Linked DNA regions of Tamandua tetradactyla. The protein of the gene in region 4 purifies or fractionates together with the protein of the main gene of each other region. This does not show direct contact. Links are inferred from orthologs where the notes say so. Each region holds a gene or a part of one and is shown on either strand. Other genes may lie near its edges. The genes, in order: DVL3, LRP6, HIPK2 and AXIN1.

Region 1 (7,207 bases), on a different chromosome or scaffold from region 4:
CTACAGTATTCTTCACACCGCCAGCAACCATGTGCTCCCATCCTGACTGAGGAGTTGGAATGAGGAAAAATGGGATGGAACAAAGCTTCTGCTTAGGAAGGAGCTTAGCAGGCCCCACAGCTGGAGGAAGGCCAAAGGAACAACTTTGTGCTCTGGCTTTTCTTCAGGGAACAACAGAAAGCAGCTAGCCTCTCTGCTGCTTGTATTTGTTAATAATTAAAAGAGAGAGAGAGAGAGAGGTGTATTGGTTTCTGTCCAGTTCTTAACTGACCAGCCTTTGAAGTATGCCAACAGAGAATTCTGAACCTCTGACATGGCAGTGTTTCCCTAACACCTGGGGGAGAGAGAGCAGAGGGCTATTATGGCCACTAGGTGGTACTGTAGTGCCTGGCTAATTGACTAATCTATGGCTCATAGGTAGCATAGGAACTAGATTCTTTTCCAGCCACCGTGGATCAATTCGTGGACCTGGGAAAGTTGCTGAGCCTATGTCTATGACACTGTTCTGTCAAATTTAGTATTTTGTTCTGAGTGATGATGCCAAGCTTATAGAATGCCTATTACTACTTGCCAGTGTCTCTCACATGCCTTCTCCACTTGATCCAGTGGTCTCTACTTCTCCACTAGTCCTGTCAGGGAAGCTGGGCCACTCTCCATCCTAAAAATAAGGAAATCTGCTTATGGTTGCATGCCGCTTGGGTGTTAAAGCTAAGGATTTGGCACTCATAATACAGTGTTCTTTTTGCTCAGCACAATGTCTCAGTAAAGGAGAAATTGCTCCCAGAGGCAAATATAACCCCAAGCTGGCAATGGATATCCTGAAGACCACATGAAGGCCCTATAAAGCAGAGTTTCCCTAATAATGAGTTTCACTTGGTTACCAAATGAAAGGCATTTTACTAAATATTTTTCATGCATTATTTTAATTAACCCTCACATTAGCCCTACAAAAGTTGGTTTTAACCCATTTTCAGATGAGTCTGGAGCTCAGAGAAGTTAACTATTCTGAGGTCCCATAACTAGTGACTGAGAGAGCCAGGATGTGGTGTTGGACTCCAGTTTAGTCAACTCATTTTATTGTTTCCCTTAACCTCAACCTTGAGAACATGCCCTCTATCTCCTCTTTTTGAGCTGTTTGTTGCCTTTTTGTAACCCTCAACTTGATACTTAAGCTGTGGCACATGCTCTCCCGGGCATCACAGATAAAACGGTTGCCTTCAGTCCAGTTGGTGGAGTGTTGCCTCCACTTGAGGGGCATAAAGACATTGGGTATTTCTAAAGGAAACAAACAGGTTGACCAGAGTTGGCTTGATTTACTTTTCTGGTTCAGGAAATCTCAGTTTCTCAGTTTCTCACAGGACCTAGTATCCAAAGAGCATGAAGATGGTTATGGCATGGATCTATTAGGAGCAGTTAAATACAAGTAGCTATAAGGTAACTCTGATCTGTGATGTAAATAGTGTTAGAGGAATGCAAAAAAAGCTGAAATCATTTTTTAAAAATGCAAGATAAAGGGGAAAAAATGAGAAAATTAAAGGATCAATCAAGAAGGTCCAAAATTAGACTAACAGAAGTTGCAGAAAAATAACAGGAAAAAATAATAGCAAGGATGCTATTAAACAATTCAAGGAATTGTTGAATTTCTAGATACAAAGGGTCAACTGAATACAGTTGTTGAATTTCTGGATACAAAGTGTCAACTAGTAAGTAGTACAGTGAAAACATCCTTACCAAAGCATATCATGCATGAAATTTCAAAATCCCAGGGATAAAGTGAACTTCCTAATGGCTTCGAGAATGAATAAAAACAATTTGTTTACAAAGACTTAGGGAAAATAAAGGAATCAAACTGCTCAATAACAACACTACCAGAAGACAATGGAATGATGCCTTCAGACTTCTGAAGGAAAATTATTTTTAACTCAAAATCACATATTTTCAAATAGGGAAGTTCTCAAAAAAATTTCCCATGATTCCCCTCAAAGAAAGCTACTAAAGGATGTGGTTTATGAAATCAAAGGAGTAAAGTATCCAGGAAACAGAACCAACATGGAAGAGGTAAAAGGGATTCCGAGGGTGATGCAGAAAAGTCCCAGGGTGACAACTGTGCAGTAGACTAAAACAGCCAGCAGTATACACTAGAGCGAGAGAGGATGGAAGACTCCAGGGGAAAATGGATGCATGGGTTATTTAATGTGATGGGTACAGTATATTTTTAAAGTAAATGAAATAGCAAAGCAATAATGCCAGGAGAATGAAAAGTTGGTAAGGGAGTATAATCATGGAGCACACATGACTTGGCAGTAGACAATCATAAAGAAATAATGTCAATACAAAGTACTACATTGACAACCAAAAAGTGTGATTTCATCATACTAAGATAATAGAGCAAGGTGGAAGAGCTAAGTCATAATAAATCAGAATTGGAAATCAATAGGCAATGTTTAGAATACATATATCAAGAAATTATGGTAGTAAAAAAAGTGATAATTCGGGGGGTGAAGATGGTAATGGGACAGGGGACTGCTGTTTTTGTTGTTAAAAAGTTTCTTAATATTATCTGCATACATATTTCTTTGGTAAAATTTGAAAATTAAAGAGAGTAAAGGGAACGGAATGAAGTGGAAATATACAAGGTTGTATGCAGGGGCTAGCAAGTGCATTGGCCAGGGGAGTTAAAAGGTTGAGGAGATAGGCAAAGGCTATAAAGATATTTATATTTTGACTAGTGCATCTCCTAAAAAGAAAAATAAGATAAGGTCCATAATCTGGAGGTCAAATTATGGAGAACCTAGAATAGCATGTTAATACTTGGAAATTGTTGGGGAATGTGAGGAGGTTTCTGAGCAGATCTGAAAGAGGTGCTTACTCTTTAAATGCTATTTTGCCAACTGTACAAAACAGAGTAGGATAGCTTGCACTTGTTACTGTGGCCTAAAAGGCCCTATGCGATCTGTCCCCTGCCTATCTTTCCAGCCTCATCTACCACGGTTCCTCCCGTCACAATGGCATTCTTCCTGTTCCTCAGATTTAGCACGCTTTTTCCTTTCCTGAGCCTTTATAATTAGCTGTGCCCTCTTTCCCCAGATCTGATAGCTTTTCCTTCTCATCAGTTAGGTTTTAGTTCAAATGGAAGAGGTCTTCTCTGATCAACCCATCCTGAATATTCTTCTTTCCCCTGTCACAATCATAACTCCATTTTATCTTGGTAGTATTTATCATTCTCCAAAGTTATTTACAAGCCTGTGAGTGTCTTTGGAGGTCCTGAGGGCACCCTTATGTGTCCTGGTTACTGCTATATCTCATGCATAGTACCATTGCCTTGCACATAATAGGCACTCAATATTTATTAAACGAATTAAAAGCTAGGGGTGAAAAAAATAATAAAAGAAAAAAGCTAAGGGTGAAGAGATCTGTTAGGGAACAGTTATATCTAGTTCTGATTTAAGACTTAACTGTCCCAATCATGCATGTATCAACTCATTTATCGTTCAATCTACTTATTAAACCACCACTATGCACCTGATCCTTGCTAGGTCAACTGAGGTAATCAGGAGAAATCAGAACTGTGCAGCCCTCAAGCTGGATTTGGTGGGCTCAGTGACAGCACCCGTGCTTCTCAACAAATCCTAAAATGCCAAGTTGTTCCTTTCCTCCAGGGATTCATAGACTAAGCCCCCTTCCCCCAGATCATCTCTGGGGACCAAAGCGACCCCTGCTTTCCACCCCTCCCTGAATGTTAAGGAGGCATGGATCCCACTTGGGTCCAGAGACAGAATCTCCATCCTGGCCGAATCTCCCTTTCATCTCCGTGGGCCGGGGCGAGCCCAGTCACGCTCCTTGTGGGCCCCGGACCAGAGCCAAGGTGTGGAGCGCCGCTGCGGGATCTGCGGGGCCCGGGCCCAGGCCGGGCCTTCGGCCGCGGGGCCAGCGCTGCTCGGCGGCCGCCGGGGGTGTGGCTGCGCCGGGGCGGGGCGGCGCCGGGGACGGGGGAGGGGAGCGGGCCGGCCGCAGCCCAGTGCCGAGAGGGCCGCGGCCACCGGAAGAGTCTCGGTCGCCCGCGGAGCTGGAGAGCGGGGAGCGGAAGCGGCGGCGGCGGGCGGCGCTGGGACCCGGGGGCGGCCGGAGAACAAGGGAGCTGGCGCCGCGGCCGGCCGCGCAGCTGGGCTGAGCCCCTGGCCGCGCCGAGCGCCGCCTTTGCCCGAGAGCCCGGCCCGGCCGCCCGAGCAGGCCGCACACGGGCCGCCGGGCCCGAGGCCGGAGCCATGGGCGAGACCAAAATCATCTACCACCTAGACGGGCAGGAGACGCCGTACCTGGTGAAGCTGCCGCTGCCCGCCGAACGCGTCACCCTGGCGGACTTTAAGGGCGTCCTGCAACGACCCAGCTATAAGTTCTTCTTCAAGTCTATGGATGACGACTTCGGGTGAGGAAGGCCCCGCCCCGCCTCCTGCCGACCCCAGCGCCTCAGGTTTTTAGGGGCTTCTGGGCGCAGACCAGCCCATCTGGGCCGCCTTGGCTTTTTCGTAGATTGGAGTCACAGCCCCCTCGGGCTCCCCTGTCACCTCCTGTGGTGGGATCCTTCCCACTTTGGGCACCCTCGTTAGGGGGATGTCCAGCTCTCCAGGAGCAGTCAGAGTTCCTCCTAGGCAGCACCCGCACGTCCTCAGAGGGACAGACAGACACACGTCCCTCCACCCAGTCCCAAAGCTCGCCTCCTGCCAGGTGAGCCACCTTTTAGCGTAGACTTGAGGTGTTTGGCACTCAGCCTTTCCCCTCTCCATCTTTTGAGCTCCACGACTCAGAGCCATATTTGGAGGATCCCACATCTAAGGGCTCTCTCCTGGGGGCTCTGAACTGGGGGATGGGGATGGGGAAAGGGCTCCGGCGCCGGGCTGTATGCTGGGGCCTGCAGAACTGATGTTTATTTAGCTGTCTCTCCTCTCCCTTTGGAATTTTCGGGATGTTGTCAAGGGATTGGAGCACCTGACCCCTGTGGAGGACTCCTTACTAACCCAGGTGCTGGTCTCCCCTCAGAATTGGGGCCTGTTTCCTCCAGATGGTGGCTGAGAAGGAGACCTTGGGAAGGGCCTCAGAGTCTGGATGGGAGGGTCAGGAGGAATCTCTTGTGTTCTCCATCTTCCCCTCCTTAGCGGGGTCTTCCCATCCGCCCAGCTGCAAGGCTTTGGACAGGCGGAGTTTGGAAGCAGCCACTTCCCCTTTAAGAAGGGATGGAATGCTGGAGCCAGAAGGTTCTGTAGCAGCTGGCCTTGGAAGGAGAGCCTGGTGGATCCTCTCACCCCCACCTCCCCAACTCCCAAGGGATGAGGGGGGAGGGGGAGGCCCCCAGCACCAGCCAGGCTGAGAATCCAGTGTTGAGCCCAGAGGCCCACGGGGGAAACCTCCCCCACCCCCACCCCTGGCCGTGGGGCCTGAAGGGCGCTTTCCAGCCCTGGCCTGAGGCCTGCTCTGTGCCCTGCAGCTGAGGCCCCAGAACTGAGTGGAGGAAGACATTCTTTTCCCCAGTGGTCATCAGTCTAGCTTCTTTCCCAGAGCCTCAGCCTCCTGGCGCCAAGAATCATGCACCTTCTATCTTCTGCTTGGCGTGTTTTGCTATCACTTTCTACCCTGGAACTCAGGACTTGAAAAGCCCATGAAATCATGTGTGCAAAAGTGCTTGGTACAGAGGAAGTGCTATGGTGATTCGAACTGTTCTTGTTTCAGTTGTTGTTTTTACCCAGGAGTGGATACTCCTGGTCTGGTGATGAATCTCTGGCTTCAGTCCAGAGACAGACACCCCTGATTGGATGATTCGAAAGAGAGATTGATCTGGAAAAGGTGGGGTGAGGGAAGGGTGGATGGTCTGGCATGGCATGGGAAGAAAAGGTCTAGAAGAAACTGATAACACCTTGTAATTTGGGATGTGGGAAAACCAACCAGTATGGTAGGGCCACCCTGGGTCCGGCCAGACGGGCTGAGGGGCTAGCATAGTTAAAATACATTAAATATATATTTAACTATTGAACTAAGCAATGTTCATTCAGGTACCACCTAAAATCATCTTGTATACATCAGTGATACCCTTTGCAAACTATCAGACTAGGACATTTTAACAGGGTTGAAAATAATGCTAAAAACAAACTGGAGGAAATTGAGTTTGTTTTTATCACCAGAATGATAAATAAGCAGGAGACCTGGTAGGGCTAACTTGTCACCAAAAGCAAAGTAAACAAAACAATACCAACAACTAATAGCTGAGGAACATATGTATATAATTCCATTTATTTAACAAACCCTTTTATGGTGCTTACAGAGTGTCAGGCACTGATCTAAATCCTTTTCAAATCTTCGTGCATTTAATCCTTATAACAGTCCTGTGAAATAGGAAGTGGTATTCCCAGTTTACAGATCAGGAAACTAGAGCACAGAAAACTTAAGTAATTTGCCCAAGGGCACACATCTGGCTCTAGAGTCCCCAAGGCATATGCTTCCCGAAGTCTATCCTTACCCATCCAGTGGTAGAAGCATATTCTCTCTGTGGGAGATGTTGTGTCTTGGTAAACTGTAGAAGTGGTAAAACTGTCATGTACCCAAGCCCCGTGAGAGGAAGTGAGCAGAGGCCAGGGACCTGCTGGCAGATGGGAAAGCCGGTCAGAGGAGAAAGGCTGCCGCTCTCCAGCCTCAACATCTGTGTGCAAGGTTTACCCCTAGAGCTTGATTTGTGAGGCATCAGAGCTCCCCAAGTCTCATCTGGGTTCCAGAAGTATTTGTCAGGCTCAGGGTAGGAGCAGCATTCTTAAGTTATTTGAAAAATGGAGGAAGGATAAACGTTTTTCAGCCCTAGGTTGACAGTGGATGGAAGAACAAGGTACCCCCTTTGAACCTCGCTTTGAGCAGCATGAGGGGGCAGCATAGGGAGTGAGGTCACTTAACTGTGTTGCTTCCTCCTGCATTTCACACACTTTCCTAACTCTGGGCCTTCTGCCTGGAATACTCTTCACCTGTCTCCCTGTCCTTCTGGTTGAACATTTCCATGAGAACTCTTCTGGCACTTTATCCTATTTATCCTTACAGCCCTACCCAGCTGCTAGTTAGGATCAGATACATAAATAACACTCAACAGATCTCTGTCCAATGAACAAATCTGCTGCTTTGACTGCTCTTCCCACTTGCAGTGTTCTTACATGAAGTATGTACTGGACCATAA
Region 2 (8,002 bases), on a different chromosome or scaffold from region 4:
TTTTTCTAATCTAAATAAGTATGTACCTGGAAGGCACTAAGAAAATGGTAGGATGGCATCCTAGATTGTGAGCTCCTTTAGAGCAAGGACCATGGTCTGTTTCACTTAGACTATACCCACAGAGCCTGGCACATATATTTGGTATTCCATACACACTTGCTAAAAAGAATAAATAATACTTTTAGTAATACTACTCAAAGAATAATAGATCCATACTCTATCATTTATAGCTCTAGGATCTTAATCAAGTTATGATTTCTGAATCTGAGTTTCCTCACTTGTAAATGAGAAGATTATTCAACTTAAAACGCAGGATTTTAGGGTTGAAATTTCCAAATCTTTCCATTACACCTTGTCACCTGGTCATAAAAATATGGATGCAACCGTGATGAAGAACAGCATTATTCCTTGGCTTTCGCCTATTAAATTAACAGGGCTACAATACAAAAGGAACCCCAGACTCTCTCATACACAAGGACTCCCCCATCACTCTCACCCGCCTCATCTTCTCCACTGTTAAAACTACAATCTTCTGTGAAGAAAAATGACCTTAATGCAACGAATTAATCACATTTTTGTCCTTGCAGTCCAAGGTTGGCTAAGTATCACTATTGTAAAAGGATGATCCATTATGAAGGAATGAAGAGAATCTAAATTATGAACAAAAATGTTTTACATCAAAAGAAATTCAGTTCAAATAATATGCACTCAGTTAACTACCATTAAATTCAAAGACCACCTTATCCATTATTATGCTATAATTAAAATGAAAGATCCACTTTTGGAAACTTTTTTTACTACTGGAAATTAGGCAATCTAAACTATTACCCTTTCTAGGTCTGTTACATAATAACATATTTCAAAAACACATTACTTGAAGTACAACTTATCTAAAATCCAATAATGAACAAACCTAGTGTTTAAATAAACAAATGGCATTTTCATCACACCCTTACCCTACAAAAAATACAATGGGGCAACTAGAAGCATCCCTGGTTATGGATTTAGATTTCTCCAAGACTAAAAAAAAGCAGCTGGCTCTCATATTTGTAAACACTATTAACCTTCTATTTAAAATTATAATAATAATCATCTTGTGTCAAATATAACAGTTTCTCAGTCGTAAGAAAACCCCCTTTCAACACGAAGTACACTATAATAAAATAAACATACTTAATATACTCACATACATAACAGTGCATTAAAGTCTCTGCTTTGAAAATTAAATGACCACTATCCTACTGGGGTTATATATGGAAAGAATTTGGAATACACAGAGTCATAATTATTATTAAGCATAATATAACATTCCTTTACTTGTATAAAATACAAGTAAAGGAAAAATTCTTTCTCAGAAAAAAAAAGGTCAATCACTCATCCAAAATAAATACATACACACAGAAATGGTATATCTGCCACATTGACATCCATGAGATCATTAGTTACTATGGTGTTCTGGAAACCAATTAGTTTTTGAGGACTTTAAAAGTTTACTGGTTAAATTACAACTAAAAACCTCTCCATAAACTCAAGAGACCCCATATCTTTAAAGAACTGACCGTGAACACAAATAAGAATTCTAACAAAACCAAAGTACAAGCCAAAAGTGCTTTAATTCTTTTGCTAGTAAATGCTCAATAGCACCAGACTCATCACCTCTTCAACACTAGTAAGTCTGAGAAGAGCTGTCGCAAATCTTGTTGGCCAGTCAAAAATCTTCGTGGACTGTCACAAAATAAAAGTCACAGGGCGTATGTCAGCTCTGCAGGCCAATCCAAAATACCACAGCACCACCTAATTCAGTAATTCTTGGAGCAAAATAATCTAGAATAGCTTCTTTACCAAAGTGCCAAGCAGTCCCCAGAGGTATTTATTTAGCAAATGATAACTTAGGTCTCAGGACAGGTCCCTGCTTCACACAAGGATGACTTTCGTATTTACTGCCAACTGTACACTTGCATGCTCCGAAAATAGGGGCAAGCTCTGAATACCAGGGTGAATACCAGGGGTTAAAGGCAACGTTTCTATTTTATTATGGGCTGAAGCTCAGAAGACTCCGAATGCGAAAAGCTCGACCTATAGCCCTGGAGTCATTTTCAACTCTACTCTCACTCAGAATCATTATATGCCAAGCTGAAGCCAATTATTACTTGTAATATACCTGGAAAAATAGTAAGAGGGTTCTAAAAGTCCACCTAAAAGGCACGCAAAATGTGGAGGCTACGAGAAAGGCCAACATCGAAACACCTTAAGCTTCAACACTTTAAAAGCCAAAGATCTTCTCCCCTGATGACTCCAAGCATAAAGACGCACACTCTCAGTCATTCCATTAGAACCGGAGAAATGGGGCTCTAAGGTTCACTAAGACAAGCAGCCGGATCGAGGCTCAGATTTGGCTACATATGGTCGGGAAAGCCAGGCAGGAGTCTGCACTGTGGCCAGGCGTTCGCACAGCCCCTTCTCCAGGGCCCCTTTCTCTCCTTTTCTAAGACCAGGCCTCTTCACACTCCTCTTCTCCTTTTCCTCCCTCCGTCTCTCTTTCCCCTCCCCCCAGACACACACACACACACACACACACACACACACACACACACACACAAGGCCACGTACCCCTAAATCCCATCAACTCTCCCGCCCCCACCCCTTCCCACCTCTCAAGAGCACACAGAAACTGCAGGCCAGGAAGCTCCTCAGGACGGCCCCCATCTTCCCTTCTCGCGTTCTCTCCTCTCACCAGCGAGGGGCGACCAGAAGAGGGGGAGGCGAGGAGCCGGGGCGGCCGCCGCAGCGGCAGGACTGCACGCTCATGCTTCCCAGCTTTCCAGAGTGAGAAGAAAGGGGCACACGTCAAGGCTCCGCGCGCGCCGCCGCCGCTCTCCCTACCGCGCCGCTCTGCCCCGGGCTCGCGCGACGGCAGCGTCTGCTTCCATCCCGCCGCCGCCTCCCTAGGAGCCCCGCTTCCCCCGCGCAGCTCCTCATTTAGCCTCTTCCTCTCGCTCAGCGGCGCAGGGATACGGCCAGCCGTCCGCCGCCGTCTGGAATGCCGCGATCGTCTTCCTGCGCGCGGACGAATCCCCTTTCTCGGCACGCCCCCAGAGCAGTTATGCAAAGTAGGGGGGCGCGCGCACGGCTTCTGCTTGGAGACCTCGGTAGGCTTGCCGGGCGAGCAGGGGTGAGCTTACCGCGGGCCGCTGCCGAGTGGGGAAAGCCACGCGGCGGCGCATTCCGATGGGATTCTTTCCCAGGCTGGCTGCTGCGGCCCTTCCCGCGGAGGGCGTGAACGACGTCGAACAGCATTGGACACGGCGTGGTCGGGACTACTTTCTGCGGCTCGGCCGGGCCGCCGCCTGCCACGCTCTTTGTGCGGCGGCCGCCAGCAGAGCCAGGTGGGGTTTCGGCTACACTCCGGGCGACCTCTGGGTCGAGGAAGCGGCGGGCCGGGGACGATAGAGCCCAAGTCCACGCTCGACGATCCGCAGCTGATCCTGTCACGCGGAGATGAATGAGTTGTAACTTCGGCGTTGGAAATCAGTTTAGCAATTTTTTTTTTAGGAAGGTAGAAACTATAATGCTAGTTAAACGTGCATCTCTATGAAGGATGTTCAAACACCAGCCCAAAATTGAGCTCGAAAAGAGCTAAAGATCTGTGGACTGACAGGTAAAATTGCAAGATAAATGCGTTAGCACCTAAGACAGAGCAAAAGAACTATTCGACAAAACAGCCCTTGGGATTTTACAAGTTGCTTTTAATAATGAATATGCGGCATGCTTCGATCAATTCTCAACTTGGAGAGGAAAGGATTCCCCTCCAAATTCCAGACACTAACTGCACAGCCTCTTCTACGCAGGTGTACTGAGCATTCAGCAATAAAAGCCTAGACGTCCCCTGAAATCACGTAGCAGGTTTCAGTTGAGGGAGAAGCACCCTAAGAGTTAAGTGTAATGGAGCCATCAGGTGGATTCTACTGAGCTGTCACTCGCCCTTACCTCAGGGCATGTGGACCAGGGAGTGAAGCTACTCCGCAGTGTTACTAATATCTCAGTGATACTGGAGTTCACCAAGTGCTTGCACACACATTATCAGATTTGACACTCAAAACTACCCTGGGGTTGTTACTATTTATACTTACTACACAGAGAAGGAAAATGAGACCCTGAGGGCTTCAGTGACGGGTTACCCAAGACCCTTTACGTAGTAAATAACAGAACCTGAACCCAACCCGGATCTTCTGACTTCAGATACTGTACTCCTTCCAAGAAATGCACAGTAAACCAGTAGTACTGCACTTCTGAGAGCAGAAAAAGGGCAGAAACAGCCAAATTACTACTGCCTAAATTCACCTGAAAAAGTCTAGCCGCCGCTGATTTCAATTACTTTCTTCCAAGAACCATGTCCAGATCCTGTAGGTTTTGTATTCTGATCTCCTCAAAACAGATAACTGAGAGTAAATTTTTTCAGCAATAGGCTGAAGAGGAATGTGTAAAAGTGAAGACAGTGAGTGGGTAGAGACACCGTGTTGTTATAGGGGGAAATGAGCTTTGGAACCATAAACAGGTTAGGATCTAAATTCTATCAGTTATTAGTTATATGACCGTGGGCAAGACATTTAAATGCATTGCACCTCAGTTTTCTCATCTGTAAAATGGGTGGTGTGGATTAAATTGAATAATATATCAGTTGCTCAATATGTAATAGATGCTCAATAAATGACCATTTCCTTTCTGTCTCACCTCTAGCAAGGTGAAATGTGCCATAGTAATTTGCAAACTGGAGAAATAATGGAAGATAAAGAAATCATTACATACCTAGAATGTTTACTGCAGGGGTATTAATCAGAGGTAGAGAACTGTGAAGCTTATGTAAGTTAACCTTCAGAACCTCCAACTTTCACATATGCCTTCCAAAGCCTGAGAGGGGCCCTAACAATGTGTTCACATGGTCCTATTTGCAAAAGTAAACTAATTTTGTATTATTCTTTCTTAAAACAGCTCTTAAAATTGTGTAAGTTTCAAATACCACAAAACCTATATCTGCTCCTGTTTGTTATAGAAAACCAGGTACAACCTATGTCTCCAACAGTAGGGGAATGAGATGTTTATACAACCCCATGAAATGATAATTTGAAGGACTGTGAAACCGTGTTGGAAAATGTTCACAATTGAACTTTTAAAAAAGTGCATGTACTTTTAATTACAGCCATATGATATGTATCATCATATATATATAATCTAATATCACCTTTGTGGGCAAAGACTAAAAGTAAATACAATAAGCACTAGTATAGTGAAATAATTTGAAATTTACTTTTCTAAGTTTCCTTTAATTTTTGTTTCCTTACTATACTTTTTTAAAGCGAAAATCTGTACTTTAAGCTTAAGCCCTGCAAGGATGATATTCTTTTTACATAACTAATTTGTTTTTCTCATTCATTCAATAAATAATCATTAAGTGCCTACTAAATGCCCATCACTGCTTTTTGTAGGTGCCAGGGATGTAAAGATAAGAGAAATCATTGTCCCTACCCTCAGGAAGCTTACAACCTGGTCTGGAAATACTATTTAATAAAGTAAATGATTAATAATTAATATTACATATTAATATTAATATAATTAATATCAACAAGGAACACAGGTGCAGAAGCACTTAGTTCTGCCTGGACAATTCAAAGAAGGCGAAATAACCCTAGAACTGAGGCTTGAAATGTAAGTGGGCGCGTACCAAGCCAACAAGACTAACAAGGAATTCCAAGCAGAAGGATAGCAGGTGCAAAGGCACTGAATTGTTTAGAAGCCTAGGTATGTTGGGGATTTGCAAGTAGATCTATATAGCTGAAGCAATGGTTGCTTTTACATAATGTTGGAAAATGAGCAAGACTATTAAATAGGCATTGGATAATAAAGGACTTTTTAAGCCATGCTAAAAAATGTAGACTTTTGCCTTGTTGATAACATGGACAGTGAAGAATTTTGCACATGGTACATGATAGAGAATTGATTTGCATTTTAAATAATTTATCTGGCTGCAGGGTGGAAAATAAAAGGGCATTAAAGCAAGAAGTAGAAAGACCATGAGGAAGTTATTTTAGAAGTCTATGAAAGGGATGAACAGGACAGTAGCACTAGGAATTGAAAAGAGATGATGGATTTGAGCAACAGGAGATTAAAACAGCAGGACTTGGTAACCTGTTAGATGTGGATAAAGAGATAGAAAGAAAAGTGGTGGGAGAGAGAGCAAGAGAGAGAAGGAAAAATAGTGCAATAGCTTAGGATGGTTTTCCAGATTTCAAAGTTAAACACCTGACTGAAAAGGAGTCTCTTTTGCCAAGAAAAGAAATATATAAGGAGCATTTCAAGAGGGGGTGGGTAAATTAAACAAGTGTCTCTTATATTAGAAGTATCTCTAAAATATTTTAAAGGTAAAAGATAGAGATGTCCAGTAGACAGTTTTGACACATAATTTCAGACTCAGGAGAAGAATGGAAACATGACCATCAGTGATGGTTGTGCAGCTTGTGCACTGCACAATCCAGGGGACATAGTGTAGACTGGAATAATTATTACCATAATTTTCTGGGAGGTAGCAGTAATACTTCTTTAGGAAATGGAACCTTTTTCTAATTCAGGTGAAGTCACCTTTCAGGTGAACAGTGGGCTGAGGGTAGAGATTATAGTTGAAACCATGAATTTATCTAAAGAGAATATTGTGTGTAACTAACAAAGTGGAACAGAGCAGAACCACAGGGTCCATAAGGATCTAGGGGCAAGCAGAAGAAGAGAAGTTAGGGAAAGAGACCAAAAAGAGGCAAGAGGAAAATGTTGAAAAGTGTTGCCACAAAAGGATTGGACAATGTGACAGATAGAGCATGCTGTGAAGTCAGCTAAGGAAGCACCAAAAGAGGCCATTGTGACTTATAATTTCTCAAAAGGTCATTGATGGGACCATACATTATACCAACAACTTAGGAAAGCAATCTGACAGTAAAATATACATATCCTTTAAGTAAGAACCTCACTTGTTGGAATTTATCCACAGAAACAGAAATTTATAAAGATATGTATACAAGGATATTCGTTACAATCTTGTGATAGAAAACAATGAAAAAATGAGCCCACAAAAAAAAAGCTGAATTTTATATCGTTCAACCTAGTAGAAAGAACTTAAATACCTTTCAAGAAGTAAATTAACAAGAGCATATTCTTATTCTGAAATACTTTGCAGCTTTTAAAAAGAATTAGAGCTTCATGTATTGCCTTGGAAGTATAGCCATGATACATTGTTAATGGAAAAAGCAAACTACAGAATTGTATCCATAGTAGTGGCAATTTTTGTTAAGAAGAAAAGAAGGAATTAAGAGAGGGAGAGAGAAGGAGAGAAATCCTATACTGGGGCATACATATCTGTTTTGGATTTGGATAAACAAAGCAAAAATTATGGATGATAACCATGAAATTGTTAAGATTGGATGCAGGAGAATGTGCTTAAAGGATAAAAGGAGGCAATTCTACTTCAGATACTTAACTATTTCAACTAGTATGGAGGAGGGTATTACTTTTTATTTTTTTTAATTCAAATTGCTGTTGTTTTTAATCACTAATAAACTTAGAGTGAACGAAATAAAGTCATTGGTGACTGTACCCAGAGCAGTTTCAGCAGAGTTATGAGAGCCAAATCAAAACAGCAGTGAATTGAAAAAAGAATGGGAAACAGGGAGGGAGGACAGTGGCTTTTTCAGAGTTTTGTGATTGAAGGAAAGAGAATAATTGGGGTGGTTGGAAAGGAATTAGGCGTGGAGTAATTTGGGGTGGTCTTGGTTAGGGTTGATTGGTTACTTTGTTTTTAAGTTTAAAAGAACATAATCATATTAATAATGCAAAGTGACTAATCCAGTAAAGAGGAGGAAAAAATGAATTGGAGACTTCCCAGAGGCTCTGGAGCACTGAAGGATGGATTTGCCTTGGAAGGAAGGAGGATTAGCACCTCTGCTCAAGAAGAGTGTAGTTT
Region 3 (7,659 bases), on a different chromosome or scaffold from region 4:
CACATGGAATCTAAAAGCAACGGAACCAGGGAGCAAAGGAATAGCAGCTACCTTCCCATGTGTCAGAGGGATCCCAGATGCCATCACTCTTTCTTCAGTGAAAGTATCTTGCTGATGCCTTAATTTGGACATTTCCATGGCCTTAGAATTATAACTTGTACCTAATAAATCCCCATTGAAAAAGCCAATCCATTTCTGCTATATTGCAGCAGCTCTAGTGAACTGAAACAGCAGTCATCCCCAATGAATCTGTATTGAGGTTCAAGGTAGTTATAAAGATTGCAAACTATATATCAGATAAGGGTTAAATATCCAGAATATAAAGTACTTAAAGAATTTTTACAACAAAAAAGACAAACAATACAATTTAAAAACAGGCAAATGACTTGAACAGACATTTTTCCAAAGGATATATAAACGGTTAATGGTACATGAAAGATGCTCAACATCATTAGCCATTAGGGAAATGCAAACCAAAACCATAATAAGATACCACTGCACACCTATAAGGATGGTTATGTTTAAAAATGGAAAATAAGTGTTGGAAAGGATGGCATGAAAGTGGAATGCTAGTGCTTTACTGGTGGGAATGTAAAAATGGAAAGTCACTGTGGAAAGCAATTAGCGCTTTCTCAAAAAGTGAAGTACAGAATTACCATGTGACCTGGCAATTCCACTCCTAGATCTCTACCCAATGTATATGAAAACAGGGTCTCAAACAGATACTTGTAGACCGATGTTCATAACAGCATTATCTGCAATGCCAACAGGTAGAAACAATTCAAGTGTTTGGATAAACACCAAGCTTATCCAAAATTTGGAAAAAATCCAATCCAAGTGAATGGGTAAACAAAATTTGGTACATACACAAAATGGAGTATTATTTGGCCAAAAAATGAATGATGTTCTGACATGCTATATATGGATGAACCCTGAAAACAATAAACTGAGTAAAATAAGCAAGGCATATAAAAGACAAGTATTTAATGATGTCACTTATGTGAGATATTTAGAAACAGCAAATTTGCAGAGAAAGTAGATTTGAAGTGGCCAAGGAATGGGGGGAGGGAACAGGTGGAGTTTTTGCTTAATGGGTATAAAGCATTTGTAAATAAAAATTAATAAGTGTAATATTTTGATGCTTGGCATGCTTCAAAACACAGCACCAAAAAAAAAGGAAAAAGAAAGAAGAAACCAGAGCACACATTTCTAAAGACAACTTAAAAAATTCTAACATAGTTCAATCCCTATCTTTCACACTTTAACATCATTGCCATGCTTTGTGAAAATGTTTCCTGGAGTTGATGTGTAAAATGAAGGCCCTGGACCTCACAATTATCAGTGATTTCAAATGTGTACAAACAAATCACGATATATTAACTTTTCTGAATAAGTAGAAGGCATAGGACTATCAATCACAAATGTTTCATTTGGTTTGGAAACTTTGAGAAGATGACTTTCTGGTGAATAAAAGATGCGAAGATACTCTTTAAATTGACCACGGGTGTTTGGCACCTCTAAATACTCACTTAAGTGCCCTACTGGGAGAAAAAAGTGACTTTTCAAAGCATACTCCACCCCTCCAGTTGCATTCCTGTGTTCCATGATGCAATGGTTATGTTCTTGATAAAGAATATTCAGGTTTTGACATCATAATAACCATGCATATCACTCATGGGACGTTCACAAGCTTGGCAAGGCACATTTTGTACCCTGTTTATCACTGAAGTCACCAATGGGTTTAAAAATAGCATTGCATATACACTCAGGGAACCACTGATTCATTAATGGGCAAGCAAACACTATTCTGGGTCCCTTATTTACATGGGATTTTAGATTGAGGTTCCTAGAATTGAAGCACAAGCATCTGTCAAGTGCATAACACCCCTACTTCTCTAGTAGGGGTGTTACGTGGTACCGAGGCTAATTTATGAATATAGATTTGTAGTCCTAAAAGAAGAAATCCTCAAAAATTACAGAATCCAGCATTTCAAATGCCATCTTATTTGTGACTCCAAAATGCTTGACTTAAGAGGTAATAAACAAGAATATTGATAAACTTGGGAACTATATTAAACATAGCAAAATAAAGAGGGATGGTATTATAATGAAAAGTGGTGTTGGTCTTAGTGAAGCCTATAAATAAGAGGCTGAAATTTTTCACTGTTAAGAGCGAAGGAGGGTATTCGATTCTAGGTGCCTGATTTATGTTCTTTAGAGAAAAATATCTCTTAGAGCAGACAATGCTTTCTTAATTTACAGATACCCTTAAAAGTACATAGTGCATTTTGTTCAAGTTTTTTGCTCAAAATCTGTGCTTCTGATCTCCTACTAGGACCCCAGAAAGAACATTCTGACTTAGGGGAAATGCCCTTGTATGTGGATACCTAGACTCTCTGAGATCTACAATTCTCTCTCTCTCTCTAAACAATTCAGGCTAGGGAACAGATAAGATCAATTTTTATTTAAGATTCCCAGAGGTCCTGGGGTAGTATACTCATACAATACAAAGCACAATACAGAAATAAGAGAGCAAAACCTATAACCTCAAGATGGGTTTCTGGAACCAGCCAAGACCTGAAATCTAGAGGACCCAGCCTCTCTAGACCATCAGATAGTTCCATCTCCCTACCCCATATTAGTGACAGTCCCTTCCAACATGAAAAATTTAGAATGGCCATAGCCCATACACCCATAAAGAAAAGGATGGAAAGATCAAAGGTGATAGTGGAGTTATCAGAAAAGATAGGATTTAACAAGTGAATATGATTGTTGAATCATTAAATTGATATCTTTTAGTCTCCAGTATCTTAGAGCAGCTAGAAGTAAAAACTTAAAATTATGGAATTGTAACCCATGTCAAACTCTGAAATATTTTCTACAACAAATTGTGGTGCTGTGCTTTGAAATATATTGCTTTTTTGTATATATGTTATTTTTCACAAAAAAGAAAAAAATAAGTTGATTGCAATGATAAAAAAAAAAAATATTTAAAAAGGTGCCGGCCATGGAGGCTCAGCAGGCAGAATTCTCACCTGCCATGCTGGAGACCCGGGCTCGATTCCCAGGTCCAGTGCTCCATGCAAAAAAAAAAAAAAAAAAAAAAAAAAGGAAAAAATATTTATACTAAACTAGGCTCCTACATTCTGGAGTAGCTAGAAGGAAAAATCTGAGAGGATCATATGGTAGTGTATGACGAACTCTGGGATCTATCCTGTGACTACCTGTTGAAGAGTGCTTTGAAAACAATTGCTTTTTTATTTCTTTGCTTTTTATATATGTTATACTATACAATAAAAAAGTTAAAAAAGAACAGAACTCAACCAAAGGGAACCCAAGGAAGAATGAAAATGTCTAACTACAGCCAAGTCTCCTGGAGAGGAAAGAGTGACACATGAGTTTGAAAAGGTGTGCTGGAGTTGGGGTGTAAAAGGCTCTTTAGTGCCAGATCTCAGTTTTATCCTGTAGGTACTGTGGAACAGCAGGGTATGTTTGAGAGGGGAGGAGGGGATTAGTCTATTTGCAGAATGGAAAATGGGCTAAAGTGACAAAAGACTGGAGGCTGTGACTCTACCACGGACCAGCTGACTCAGACGTACATCTGTAAAGTGGTAAGAACCTGAATGAAGAAAACTGGTGTCCTTGGGAAAATACATAAAGGCCATGTACAGCAGACACTTGATAGAATTGGGCAACTGACAGGGGTGAAAGAGAGGGCAAAGAAAAGAATCCAAGACTGAGTGGAAGCAGTGGGCATGGGTGACTAGGAGGAGAAAGCTGGTGCTGTGCTCCACACAGAAAGGAAACAGGCCAGGCATGGTGGGCAGTGGCCCCACTGACCTGAACAGGGAGCTTGCGTGGCAGCCGCTCTTCTGCAGACAGTGGACAGCACACACTCCTGCCAAAGATCCCCTCCAGCCCCAATTCTCAGTGAACATCTTTCCAAGGATTGAGCTGATCTAAAACTAAGTCAGCTCATAGACTGGCTCTGTGAGCTCCTGTCTTGTGATGATACCCTCTAGTCGAAGCTGGGATTACAAGATCAGATATTATAAAAACTTAACTCAGTAGAGGAATCCCTGGGCTGGGGGTGGTAGAGTAAAGGAGGACCTATCCTCTGTAGAAAGACGTGGGTCAATCAAAACAATTTAGTCAATTAGGATCCCTCCGGTAACACTTGGGATATGAATGGAGAATGTGATAATTTTCGTTTTCCTTCTGATGGCTGGATGCAGCTCAAGCAAGCTCTGCGCTTCTTTCACCAGCATCTAATACACTCAGTTTACTTCCTCCAAATGAGCCTAGCAGACGCAGCACAGAAAGTCCTCTCTATATCAGTTCTCAAACGGTGGTGAAGGGCAGAAACTCCATCCTGTCTTGACCCACACAGCTCTCAGCTGCTCGCCTTTATGATTCTGACCCTGCCAGCCAAGCCCATTCCATTCGTTTTTAGTTAAGCATAAAATGAAGCTATCAGCTCCATTTCCACTGTCTCTGCATGAGTCCATTTTTCTTTTCTTTCTTGGCGCAAACTATATGGCTCATATAGGATTCCTACTGAGTCCTTCTGTAACTCTTCCCTTGCTAAATATTCTTCAATTCCAAGAACTGCTGAATCAAAACAAAAGGTGGGAGAAGGTATGAGAATAAATTCTAAGGGGCAGATGGAAATATAAGAAAGGATGAAAGAATAAGCCTGTTGATTTTTTTTGTTTCCTACCTTTTACTCCCACAAATGCTGAGAATGACTAGAGGGGAAGAAAACCCCTATGCAAGTGAAGTCAGCAACCCAGAGGTCTGTTTTCCTGAACACATGCTATAAGGGTACAGTTCTCTGATGATAAAGTCCCATTAAATCACCAGGAATTCCCTGGAAGATAAACTCTAACACCAGTTAGTTCAAAAGTAGAAGCCACTGTCAACGTACTCACACCTGTGCCCCCACCCCTTCCACTGCTTCACAGAAACCATGGTTGAAAATCACCAGGGCCCTGCACACCTGGCCTCCAGTTAGGGCAGGGTGCTTCTCTGTGCACCACTGGTACTGGGTCACAAGAAGCCACTAAGAGCTACAGGATCACGATTCAGCCATAAAACAGACAACAAATGAGGAGCAGCATAAGCTTTAGTTCCAAGCTACAATTTGGGAAAAGTTATCAGAAAAAAGAAAAAAAGTGCTGTTGGTGGGGAGGCCAATTTCCTTTTACACAAAGGAAATCCTTCTTGCTGATTTAAGAGCAGGGCCAGACCTGTTCAGAGACCAACGGTCAGTACCGAAGGAGACAGAGGAAGCTATACCTTGAGTTATCAAACCAGTGACAAAGACACTAAAACAACTCTGAGCCATGGAAATGCAATCTGGGCACCAGGCCCCAGACCTAATCCATGTGCACATGAGTTAGAAAAAAGATTCAAGTATGTAGGCAGAAGGGTCATATAATAAAGCAACACCTTCAACTCAAGAAATAAACAAAGCCTTAATTCCATATACTCTTCCTAACATAAACCAAGCAGAGGTAAGCTCACAAAGAAGAGAGGAGACCTACATTCAAAAAGGAATGAGATCCTCCCCCTACATGGGACATGACTCCTAGAGGTATAAATCTCCCTGGCAACATGGCACAGAATTCCTGGGATGAGCTGGGGCCTGGCATCATGGGACTGAGAAAGCCTTCTTGACCAAAATGGGGAAGAGAGAATGAGACAAAATAAAGTTTCAGTGGCTGAGAGATTTCAGAGTCAAGAGGTTACCTTATGTATTATATAGATATCCTCTTTTAATTTAGGGTGTATTAGAGTGGCTGGATGGAAGTACCTGAAACTGTTGAGCTGTGTTCCAGTAGCCTTGATTTTTGAAGACAACTGTATAACAGTATGACTTTTACAATATGATCATGTAATTGTGAAAATCTTGTGTCTGACGCTCCTTTTATCCAGGGTATGGACAGATGAGGAAAAAATATGGATTAAAAATAAATAAATAATAGGGGGGATAAGTGGTAAAATAAATTGGGTAGATTGAAATACTATCTAGATTGTAATTGGGTAGACTGAACACAGGTCAATGAGAAGGAGGGACAGGTGGTATGGGGTGTATGAGTTTTTTTTTTTTTCCTTTTTATTTCTTTTTCTGGGGTCATGCAAATGTTCTAAAAATGATCATGCTGGTGAATACACAACTATGTGATGATATTGTGAGCTACTGATTGTACAACATGCCTGGAATGTATGTGTGTGCAGATTTCTCAATAAAAATATTTTTTAAAAAAAGGAATGACAACATCATTGGGTCAACTGACAACACTGGAATACAAACTGTGAGTTAGATAAAAGTACTGTATCAGTGTTAAATTCTCTAATTTGACTATTACACTGTGTTTACATAAGAGAACACCTTAGTCTCAGGAAATACACAGGTATTTAGGGTACAGCGTCACTTTCCAATAGACCTCTGTGATCCATGCCATCCAAAACAGTGGCTATTGAACACTTGAAAATGACACTAGTATAACTGAGGAACTGAACTTAATATTAATTTAAATAGCTACTTCCAGTGGTCATCAAAATGGGCAGCACAAGAATAAAAAAGCATAGTGCTTATAATTTACCCTCGGTTCATTCACAAAAAAACATGCAGGCAAATGAAATAAACCAAATGAAGTAAAAAGATAAGACGTGAATCTGGGTACAGGGATTTGGAGATACTCTTTGTCTTATTTTTATTTTTGCAACTTTTCAGGAAGTTTGAAATTATTTCCAAATAAAATGTTTCAAAAAACGGACGAGGATGAACCTTTATTCATTAATCATTGAAACCTACAGGATGTACCTTGAATTTGTAAGTAAGAAGTTAGAACTAAGATTTAAAGACATTCTAAAATATGGAAAAAACATCCCACAGAGCACACACATGCCTCCGAAAGCCCAGCTCTTTCAAACCCACCTCTTCGTGCAGGATCAACCCTTAGCCTGTCCTAATATGTACCTTTCCACCTCTTTTCAGTTGCCCCCTAGCCTACATATGTCCAAAAAGGACTTGACTGCAACAGCAAGTTCAGGGAAGCTTTAAATATATATACATATATATCAGCTTTGTTGAGATGGAATTCACATGCCATAAAAGTCATCTTTTTTAAAGTGGACAATTCAGTGGCTTTTAGTACATTCAGAGTTGTTAACCATCACGGCTATCTAATGCTAAAACATTCTTATCACTCCAAAAATAAATCCCATAGCCACCAGCAATCATTCCTCCTGTTCCCTCCCCAACCCCTGTCAACCATTAATCTACTTATCATTTCTATGAATTTGTCTGTTCTCAACATTTCATATAAACGGAATCACAATATTTGTCCTTTCGTGTCTGGCTTCTTTCACTAAGCATAATGTTTTCAAGGTTCATCCATGTTGTAGCATATATTAATACTTCATTTCTTTTTATTGCCAAATGATATTCCACTGTATGGATATGCCACTTTTGTTTATCCATTCATCAGCTGATGTACATTCCAACTGTTCCCAATTCTTGTCTATTATATGCAATGCTTCTATGAACGTGGATACAAGTTTCTGTGTGGACATATGTTTTCATTTCTCATGTATATATACCTTGGAGTGGAACTGCTGGGTCATGCAGTAACTCTATGCTTAACCTTTTGA
Region 4 (7,218 bases):
CCACGCGGGCTCTGGCCGCAATCCCCTCGCGACCCAGCGGGCCATGAGGGTGCCCCTTCGGAACGCCATCTCTGGAAACTCTCCGGCTCACAGCCCGCCTGCAGGGAGACGCACACACCCGGCCCCGCAGCCCGCAGGCACCCCTCAGCCGCAGAGCAGGAGGGCAAGGCAGCTCCTCTCCCCTGCAGGACCCCACACACTGCAGCACCCAGCCTGTGCTCCAAGGGGCTGCCACACCCAGACCCTCTGGGCGCCACACTCTCCTTCCAAAAAACTGCAAGTTTTCCAGCACACCCCCCGCCCCCACCAACAACCTGCAACCAGGGCAAGCTGTGTGGGCCCTAGCTCAGCGCATGTCCATAACAGCTAGCCAGGAGGCCACCCCAGCCCCGGCCTCACGGGTGCTTCGTTCAGAAGACAGGCTGAGGGCACTGTGGGCTACCCTCTTCCGGTAAGGAGAACACCCTTCCCACAGCGGGTGGAAGGAGGGTACTTCAAGGGGCAAGGATGGTAAGCCAGAGCCCCCTCAGGGGCCGTGGCAGCTGCTACGAGCCCACCCTGGGCCACTCCGCGAGGCGTGCTGCGAGGAGCGCAGGGCCCGCTGAGCAACAAGACCACACTGCCAAGGCTGCAGAGGGCCCACAGGGCACTTCTGCAGCTAAAGAGTTCTTAGGAAAACGCCCCGGGGAGCAGCCAGAACAGCCTGCTACCTAAGGTCGAGGCCCGGGAGCCAGGCACCTGCGGCTCACAGGCCACTTTGGCTGCAAAGCCGCTTTCTTTCAGCCCCATTCATGCCAAGGGAGCACCTCTGTGCCCGCAGCTCTGCCCCAGCTTGTCATGCTGTATGTCCTCTCGTCCAGGGTGCCATCTCGGGAAAGAGGGTCTCATTCCTGACCACCTGTGCTCACCCGTGGAGAGAGCCTACAGCTCACAGCCTCACAGGAGGAGCGAGACACTGGATCACCAGGGTGACTCCCCTACAGCCTCTGTCACATGTGTCCACGCAGCCACCTGCAGCAGCTCTGATTTACATGTTTCCTGCAGGACACACAGCACTTACAAGGTCCTGCAACTAACCAGCACCGACAAATACATACGGACATAAAGGAAAAAGAAAGTTGTCACATTCTCCCCACGCCAGCGCCTCACAGGTGCTGAGCGGCTGTTACAGACACGGCAGCAAACCTGAACTCTGACCCCTTATTAGCAAACTGCAGCTTTCAAGACTAACCTTTCAATTCATGTGTGAACCCAGTCCAACCTGGCCATCCTGGGTTAGTTTTCTAGCACAAAAGAACCACTTCTTATGGGCCCACCTGTTCCCAGCCTTGGCACCCGGTGAGCCAAGGCGCTGAGGACTCGGCTCTGCCCTGGGCCCTGCTCTGCACACACACAACAGTTCCCTCAGTCCAGGTCAGAGCTGCCAGCAAGCACCACGCCGGCCCCCAGCCAGGACCACCACCGATAGAGCGTTTCCATGAAAGGGACCTAAGAGGCTGCTTCTTTTTGCCACTACCTGGGCATACCCCAGCCCCCACGTGGCCCACCCCAAGAGCAACCACACAAGCATATCTGTGGACGGATGTGGTTACATCTTTTACTTAAACATAACTTCCGAATTTTTTAATTACATGGAAAGTGAAAGAAACGGTATGCCATAACTTCCGAATTTTTGAATTACGTGGAAAGTGAAAGAAACGGTATGCAATTCTGACAATTTTCCTACTGTCCATTAATTCAACTCTTGAAGAGTCAGGGCTATTGTCTGAAATGCAACCCACTCCCCACTAGCTGGATTCTCAAGAACCAACTTAAATCAAGAAAGTCACTTAGCTTTTCTAAAATTCTACATCCAAGAAAGTCACCTTGTATTTCAAATGTATTCCCACCCCTGTCCCTGGAGAGACTTTTCTAAAATCAAACTCGAGCTTCTGCTGGCTATTTCTGTGATCCAGTTCAGAGCAAAGACCCAAGTACACCTGAGAACCAAAGTGTGAACAAAAAGGGGCCCATGTGCACAATACAGACCTTTACAACTGCCTCAGAGTGGGGCTGAGAAAAGCACCTGAAGGGTAACATCTCTGTTATCCTCAACGACAAGCTAAAAGTTTTACTACCTTACCTGCTGCTTCCTTTCATCAGGGGTGTTAAGCTGCAAAGTGTGGGTTGCAGGTAAAAATCTTAAGACTCATTACCCAGGAGGAACACCTGGTTTTTTGGTGGCAAGGTATCATCCTGAGGGGTAAGGGAAGCCAACCACAGCATCCTGCACAGAGAGGGGGTGCCCTCCATGAGTGCACACAGCTCTTCCTGTTTTTTTGGGGGGGGTGCAAGGCGGCGGCAGGATCCCTGCAGACCATCCAGCCCGGGCAGCTACTGTGCACCCACTCACCCGCTGAAAGCTGCCCCCCGCCAGGGTCCGCGGCACCCACCCACACCCGGCCCCACGCACGGAGCAGAACCCTGCGTCTTCCTCACTTCCTTTCGCACCCCTAGGCCCAGAACCCGCCCAGACTCTTCCCCGTCCGCACACCCCAAGTCATGGGGCCTTGCCCCTATTCCCCGCCAGTGTCCGACTCCCAAAGCGCGACACCCTCACGCCGCCCCCCGCGACCTCCGCGCTCCCTCGGCCCCCCCCTGCTGCCCCGCCCCCCGCTCACAGCAGTCTGGCGGCCCCCCGGGAACCCGCGCGCCCTGGCCGCGCACACTCCCGGCCCCACCGCGCACCCCGGGCCCCGGACACCCTCGCCTCCCCGCGCACCCAGGAGCCGCGCACTCCGGCCCCCACGCCCCCGTCCCGCCCCCGCCCCCGCACGCCCTTAGCCCCTCTTCCGGGTGCCGCCCCCGGCCAGGCCTCGCGCGGCCTACAATGGGCGCCCGCCGCCCTGCGCGCCCTCTGGCCCGGCCGCGCTACTCACCCGCACGGCGGCGGCGGCGACTGGGCACCCGGCCCGGCTCCCGAAGCGGCGCGGCCCATGCGCTCAGCGGCAGCGGGACGGGCGGGACGGCGCGGGGGCGCGGCCGGGGGCGGCCCCCATCGCCACGGCCTCGGCGCGGGCCCGGGGGAGGCGCTGGGCGCCGCCGAGGCCGACCGCCCCGCTCACCGGGCCTCTGCGCGGTGGCTGCGGCTCGGGTCCGATGGCACGGGGTCGGCGGCGGCAGCGGCAGCGGCGGCGGCAGCGGTCGGTTCCGGAGCCGGAGCCCGGAGCGCCGAAGCCAGGCCCGAGCGCCCCCGCCGGCGCCGCCCGGAAGTGCGGGGGCGGGGCCCGGGGTTCAGGGGCGGGTCGGAGAGCGTGAGGGCGGGCCGGAAGCGTAGGGGCGGGGCCAGAGCGTAGGACTGGGGTCAGAGCGCATGGGGGGCCGGGGTTGAGGGCGTGGCCGGGAGCGTGGGGGCGGGACCGAGAGCGTGGGGCGGGGCCGCAGCCAGGAGCCAAATGGCTGCAGGCGCGGAGGCGTGGACCCGCGGGGCGGGGCGGGGCTGCGCTGCGCAGGCGGGGTCCCGGGACTGCCCGGGGAGAAGCGCTGGTTTCGCCTCGGTGTCCGGGGTGGGTGGCGCAGAGGAGACGACGCTGGGGAGAGCCCTGAAGGGCCGCCGACGGCCCCACCGCCCACCTTCGCCCAGCCGGCCAGGACCCGAGCAGCCCCCAGGCATCCGGGAAATGCTCAGGACCCTTGGCCGGAGCTGCAGCTTGCAGAGGGCTGAGGTCCGGGGTGGCGGAGGGGCTGTCCTCCTGCCTCTAGGTCTCCCCAGCACCATCCAGGGTGCAGCCTCGGGCTCCCTGAGGGCGAGGACCTCGGGGGTTCCGGCCTGGCACCCACCCCTCTCTCCCAGCACCGTCTTGGTCTGCGGTCGGCGCCTAGAAGCATGGCCGGCCATCGCTGTGCTGGCCACCTGCCCACCACAGGCCCCGGAGGTCTGGCAGCCACCCAGGAGTAGCTTTGGCCCACGGGACGCGGTCAGCTCCAGGGCCGCCCCACAACAAGGATGTGGCAGCAGAAATTGCAACCTCCATGCCCCCAAAGTCACATCTCCTCCCCTCCAGTGATTCGGTGAGGGCCTTTGCCCTGTACTGGATGTACCAAAAGCCCCCCGGGGCCAGCTCTACCCCCAGTTCAAGTGAGGAGGCTGCGGCCCACGGTCAGGGCCTTGCTCACCTCCTGTGGCCTGGGGCACCCTGCATTTCTGCACCCCCAGCCGCCAGGCCCTCCTGTCCTCTACCCCCTGTGGCTGGTCACTTGCCATCCACCATGATTCCACCCCGCTGCCACACTGACACCCCCGACCACCCTTTCCCGCCACTGCTATGGCCTCTCTGGACCCTTCCCGCACTGACTGGGGCAGAGCAGAAGTCCCAGCCCAGCGCGCGCTGGGCCAGCAGCCAACCTCGGCCGGCAGCACCCCAACCCCAGTGACGCCGCGAGAGGGAGGACAGGCCCTGGGAGAGTGTCCCCAGGCCTCCACATGGCAGGGGCATGTGGACACCAGCCACAGACAGGGCAGGCAGCGCCTTGTGTCCCACGGTCCCAGGGGAGACTGAGATGGTGTCCTCCATGGCACCGTGGGTTCCACGGGTGAAGGAAACTTGGAAGGGCTGAGCCGATGGTGCCCTCAAGGGTGCCTACCCCCACGCGTCCGGCGCTTGCCTTGGCTCTGCAGAGCCGCTGCTGCGGCCAGACCAGGCTCGCAGGGTTGCATCCACGTCTGTCTTCCCGCTGGCCCACGGCGGCGGGTGTTCCCAAGGCCTGGGGCCAGGACGCGGCCCTCGGGCTTCCTGCTCCTCGGGCCTGCCAGCCTGCAGGGACAGGAAAGGGGTCAGAGAGCCCGGGAGCAGCGCAGGGCCCTGTGGGCGGATAGCAGGGGGGCAGGGGGCCCCCCACTAGGGGTCTGGCCAGAGGGGCCCTGGCAGGGGCAGCAGGGGCTGGTCAGCCTCAGCACGTGGGCTGCTCTCCACAGGGGCGAGTCCCCTCTCAATTTGGGGGTCTTTAGGATCAAACAGCCCAGTGCAGGGAGCAGGACCCAGGCACCCGAGGCCCAGCGTGGACAGCTGGTGAGTGTGAAGACATCAGCGCAGGATCTCCAAGAATGAAATGAAAACCGGGAGGGCAGGAACCAGAGCTCTACGTCAGCTGGGGCTTAGGGGAGTGGGGGAGCCCTCTGCCCCTGGATGGGTGCCCTGCTCCTCTCTCCGTGCCTGGCTGCCACACCAGAGGCTCAGCCCAGGTTCCGTCTATCTGTCCCCCATCCGCGGTCCCAGGGCTTCTCCCTTTAGGTCTCATGTTTACCCCCCAGAGGCCCAGGTGCTAGGGAGACGGGCCTGAGCCCCCGCCATGCCTGCCTGGCTCTTCTCCTGTCGGAAGGAATCGTCGAGGCCTGGGGTGGGTACCAGCTACCCCCCAACAGCCTCGATGCGTGCGGGTGAAGGTGGGGACTGCAGGAGGTGCTGCCCAGAACCGGGGTCCCCTCAGCAAAGTGGGGCGCCCCCACGAGCCTCAGACACTGCACAGGGTCGCAGGGGGACGTGGGGCCCCCGACTCGACTTCCCCAAGAAAGCCGGCGTCCCCAGGGCACTGCCACCACTCACCGGGCCCGCCACGCTCGGAGCTGCCCCCCCTCCCCCCTCCCCGCCTTTGTTGCTGCCAGAATCCGTCGTGGCAAACAAAAGTGCGGGGATTAGCTACAGGCATTAAATGACCTGCTCCTCCGAGGTCACCTTGCGACCCGACCGTCGCCCGACGGAGGCTTTGAGCCCCGCCGCCCCGGCCGCGCGCACACGCGTGCACACGCACACGCGCACACGTGCACCCTCTTTGATCTCCGAGGGGCTCCGTTCACCAGCCCTGGACAGCGTGCTGCCCCTGCCCCTGCCGCAGCCCGCTGTCCTTGGACGCCCGGGTAATGGGATTTGGCGTTTCTGATCCATCTCCCCCGTTAGGATGGGCGGTCCTTCTCCCCTTCTTTCTCTGTCCTCTTCCTTTTTGAAAAATGCTTCGTGGGAAACTGCTCTTTCAGCCACGCCGCCTTTGCACGGGACAGCGGGCCAGGGCGCGGTGCTGGGAGAGGGGCCAGCCAGTCGGGGGTCTTTGATGCCGCCCTCGTGACATCTGATGTGAAAGGCCCGGGAGGGTGATTTTCGGACCGGGGCGCGGTGGGGCTTGTCCGCCTCGCGCCGCCTTCTTTGTTTCCCTGCCCGGGAACCTTGCTAGGACATGGGGACAGGGCCCAGGGTGGGTGTGCGCAGGTGGGTGGACATGGCAGGCGGGCCAGCCAGGGGCAGGACCACGCCGTGGCCACAGTGGGCAGCGCGTCCACCTGTCTGTGCATCCGTCTGTCCACCCGCCCGCCCGGCTTACCTCACCTGCCTGGCTCCGCGCGCCGGCCCGCGGCCCGCCCTCCCGCTGTCCGCCATGACGGGCCTGGCCGTGTCCGAGCACTGGCAGCCAGTCCGGGCAGCAGGTCCCGCTCGGCCACTGTGGGGCTGGGAGGGACGCGTGACTCGAGGCTGCAGCTCGGGCTCCCGCCGCCGATTGGCTGAGGCGGGACCAGATGACGGCCTCGGAACCCTATGGTAGCCATGGCAACCAGCCCCCCAGCCCCTCCCGACTGCCGAGGGAGCAGGTGGGTGGCCGGTGGGCCCACACTGGGGTCCCCTCCGAGGGTCGAGTAGGGCGTGGCTGGACGGTGCAGCTCCTGCCCATTGCAGGGCACGAGTGTGAGTGAGGGGTCCCCGTCCAGCCCTCCTGGGCACCTGCTCCAGGCACTGCCCGGCCCCCAGGATGGCCCTGCTAGAGCAGGGCTTCAGGTCCGGCTTGCCCCAGCGGCTGAGGTCAGGCCCCATCTGGAAAGAAGCAAATGTGGGGAGAAGTGTAGGGAGGAACCCCGGTGGGCACAGCCACCGCCACAGCCATACCGGGGCCCTGCGCCTGGGCCTCCCCTACCCCACCAGACCCTGGGGCTGCGGCCACATTGCCGCACGGGGCCTGCAACTGCAGCTGCCCTCCGCCGCCTGGGGGCTGTCTGCCTGGGCCGCCTACCCCTGTCCGGAGAGCAGGGCTTCTCAACTAGGCATGGTGCGTCCCCACTGCACCCCCTGTGATGCCGGGAAGGGCCGGAGGCCACGCCTGTCGAGTGGACCAAGGGAAGACGAGCCTTTGGACGGGGGGCAGGGGTGGGCCTCCGGCCCCGAGGGGGGTGAGTAGCTGCTAGGGAGGCCGGGCCCC

The links.
Region 1: the proteins of AXIN1 (region 4) and DVL3 purify together in Homo sapiens (affinity purification with western blotting; 3 studies listed by BioGRID and IntAct, with this or other methods). This does not show direct contact. The link is inferred for Tamandua tetradactyla from reciprocal best matches to the Homo sapiens genes AXIN1 and DVL3.
Region 2: the proteins of AXIN1 (region 4) and LRP6 purify together in Homo sapiens (affinity purification with western blotting; 7 studies listed by BioGRID and IntAct, with this or other methods). This does not show direct contact. The link is inferred for Tamandua tetradactyla from reciprocal best matches to the Homo sapiens genes AXIN1 and LRP6.
Region 3: the proteins of AXIN1 (region 4) and HIPK2 purify together in Homo sapiens (affinity purification with western blotting; 3 studies listed by BioGRID). This does not show direct contact. The link is inferred for Tamandua tetradactyla from reciprocal best matches to the Homo sapiens genes AXIN1 and HIPK2.

The regions. Positions count from the first base shown.
Region 1 is NC_135336.1:2,424,897-2,432,103, forward strand, and holds the start of DVL3 (segment polarity protein dishevelled homolog DVL-3), read left to right. Parts: upstream 1-4,198; 5' UTR 4,199-4,265; coding exon 4,266-4,426; intron 4,427-7,207. UniProt on the Homo sapiens protein: Involved in the signal transduction pathway mediated by multiple Wnt genes.
Region 2 is NC_135333.1:74,708,864-74,716,865, forward strand, and holds the start of LRP6 (low-density lipoprotein receptor-related protein 6), read right to left. Parts: upstream 3,019-8,002; 5' UTR 2,707-3,018; coding exon 2,652-2,706; intron 2,554-2,651; exon of another isoform or gene 1,203-2,553; coding exon of another isoform or gene 1,187-1,202; intron 1-1,186. UniProt on the Homo sapiens protein: Component of the Wnt-Fzd-LRP5-LRP6 complex that triggers beta-catenin signaling through inducing aggregation of receptor-ligand complexes into ribosome-sized signalosomes.
Region 3 is NC_135327.1:183,030,867-183,038,525, forward strand, and holds the start of HIPK2 (homeodomain-interacting protein kinase 2), read right to left. Parts: upstream 3,011-7,659; 5' UTR 1,606-3,010; coding exon 1,530-1,605; intron 1-1,529.
Region 4 is NC_135349.1:56,967,868-56,975,085, reverse strand, and holds the start of AXIN1 (axin-1), read right to left. Parts: upstream 3,007-7,218; 5' UTR 2,919-3,006; intron 2,354-2,918; exon of another isoform or gene 1-2,353. UniProt on the Homo sapiens protein: Component of the beta-catenin destruction complex required for regulating CTNNB1 levels through phosphorylation and ubiquitination, and modulating Wnt-signaling.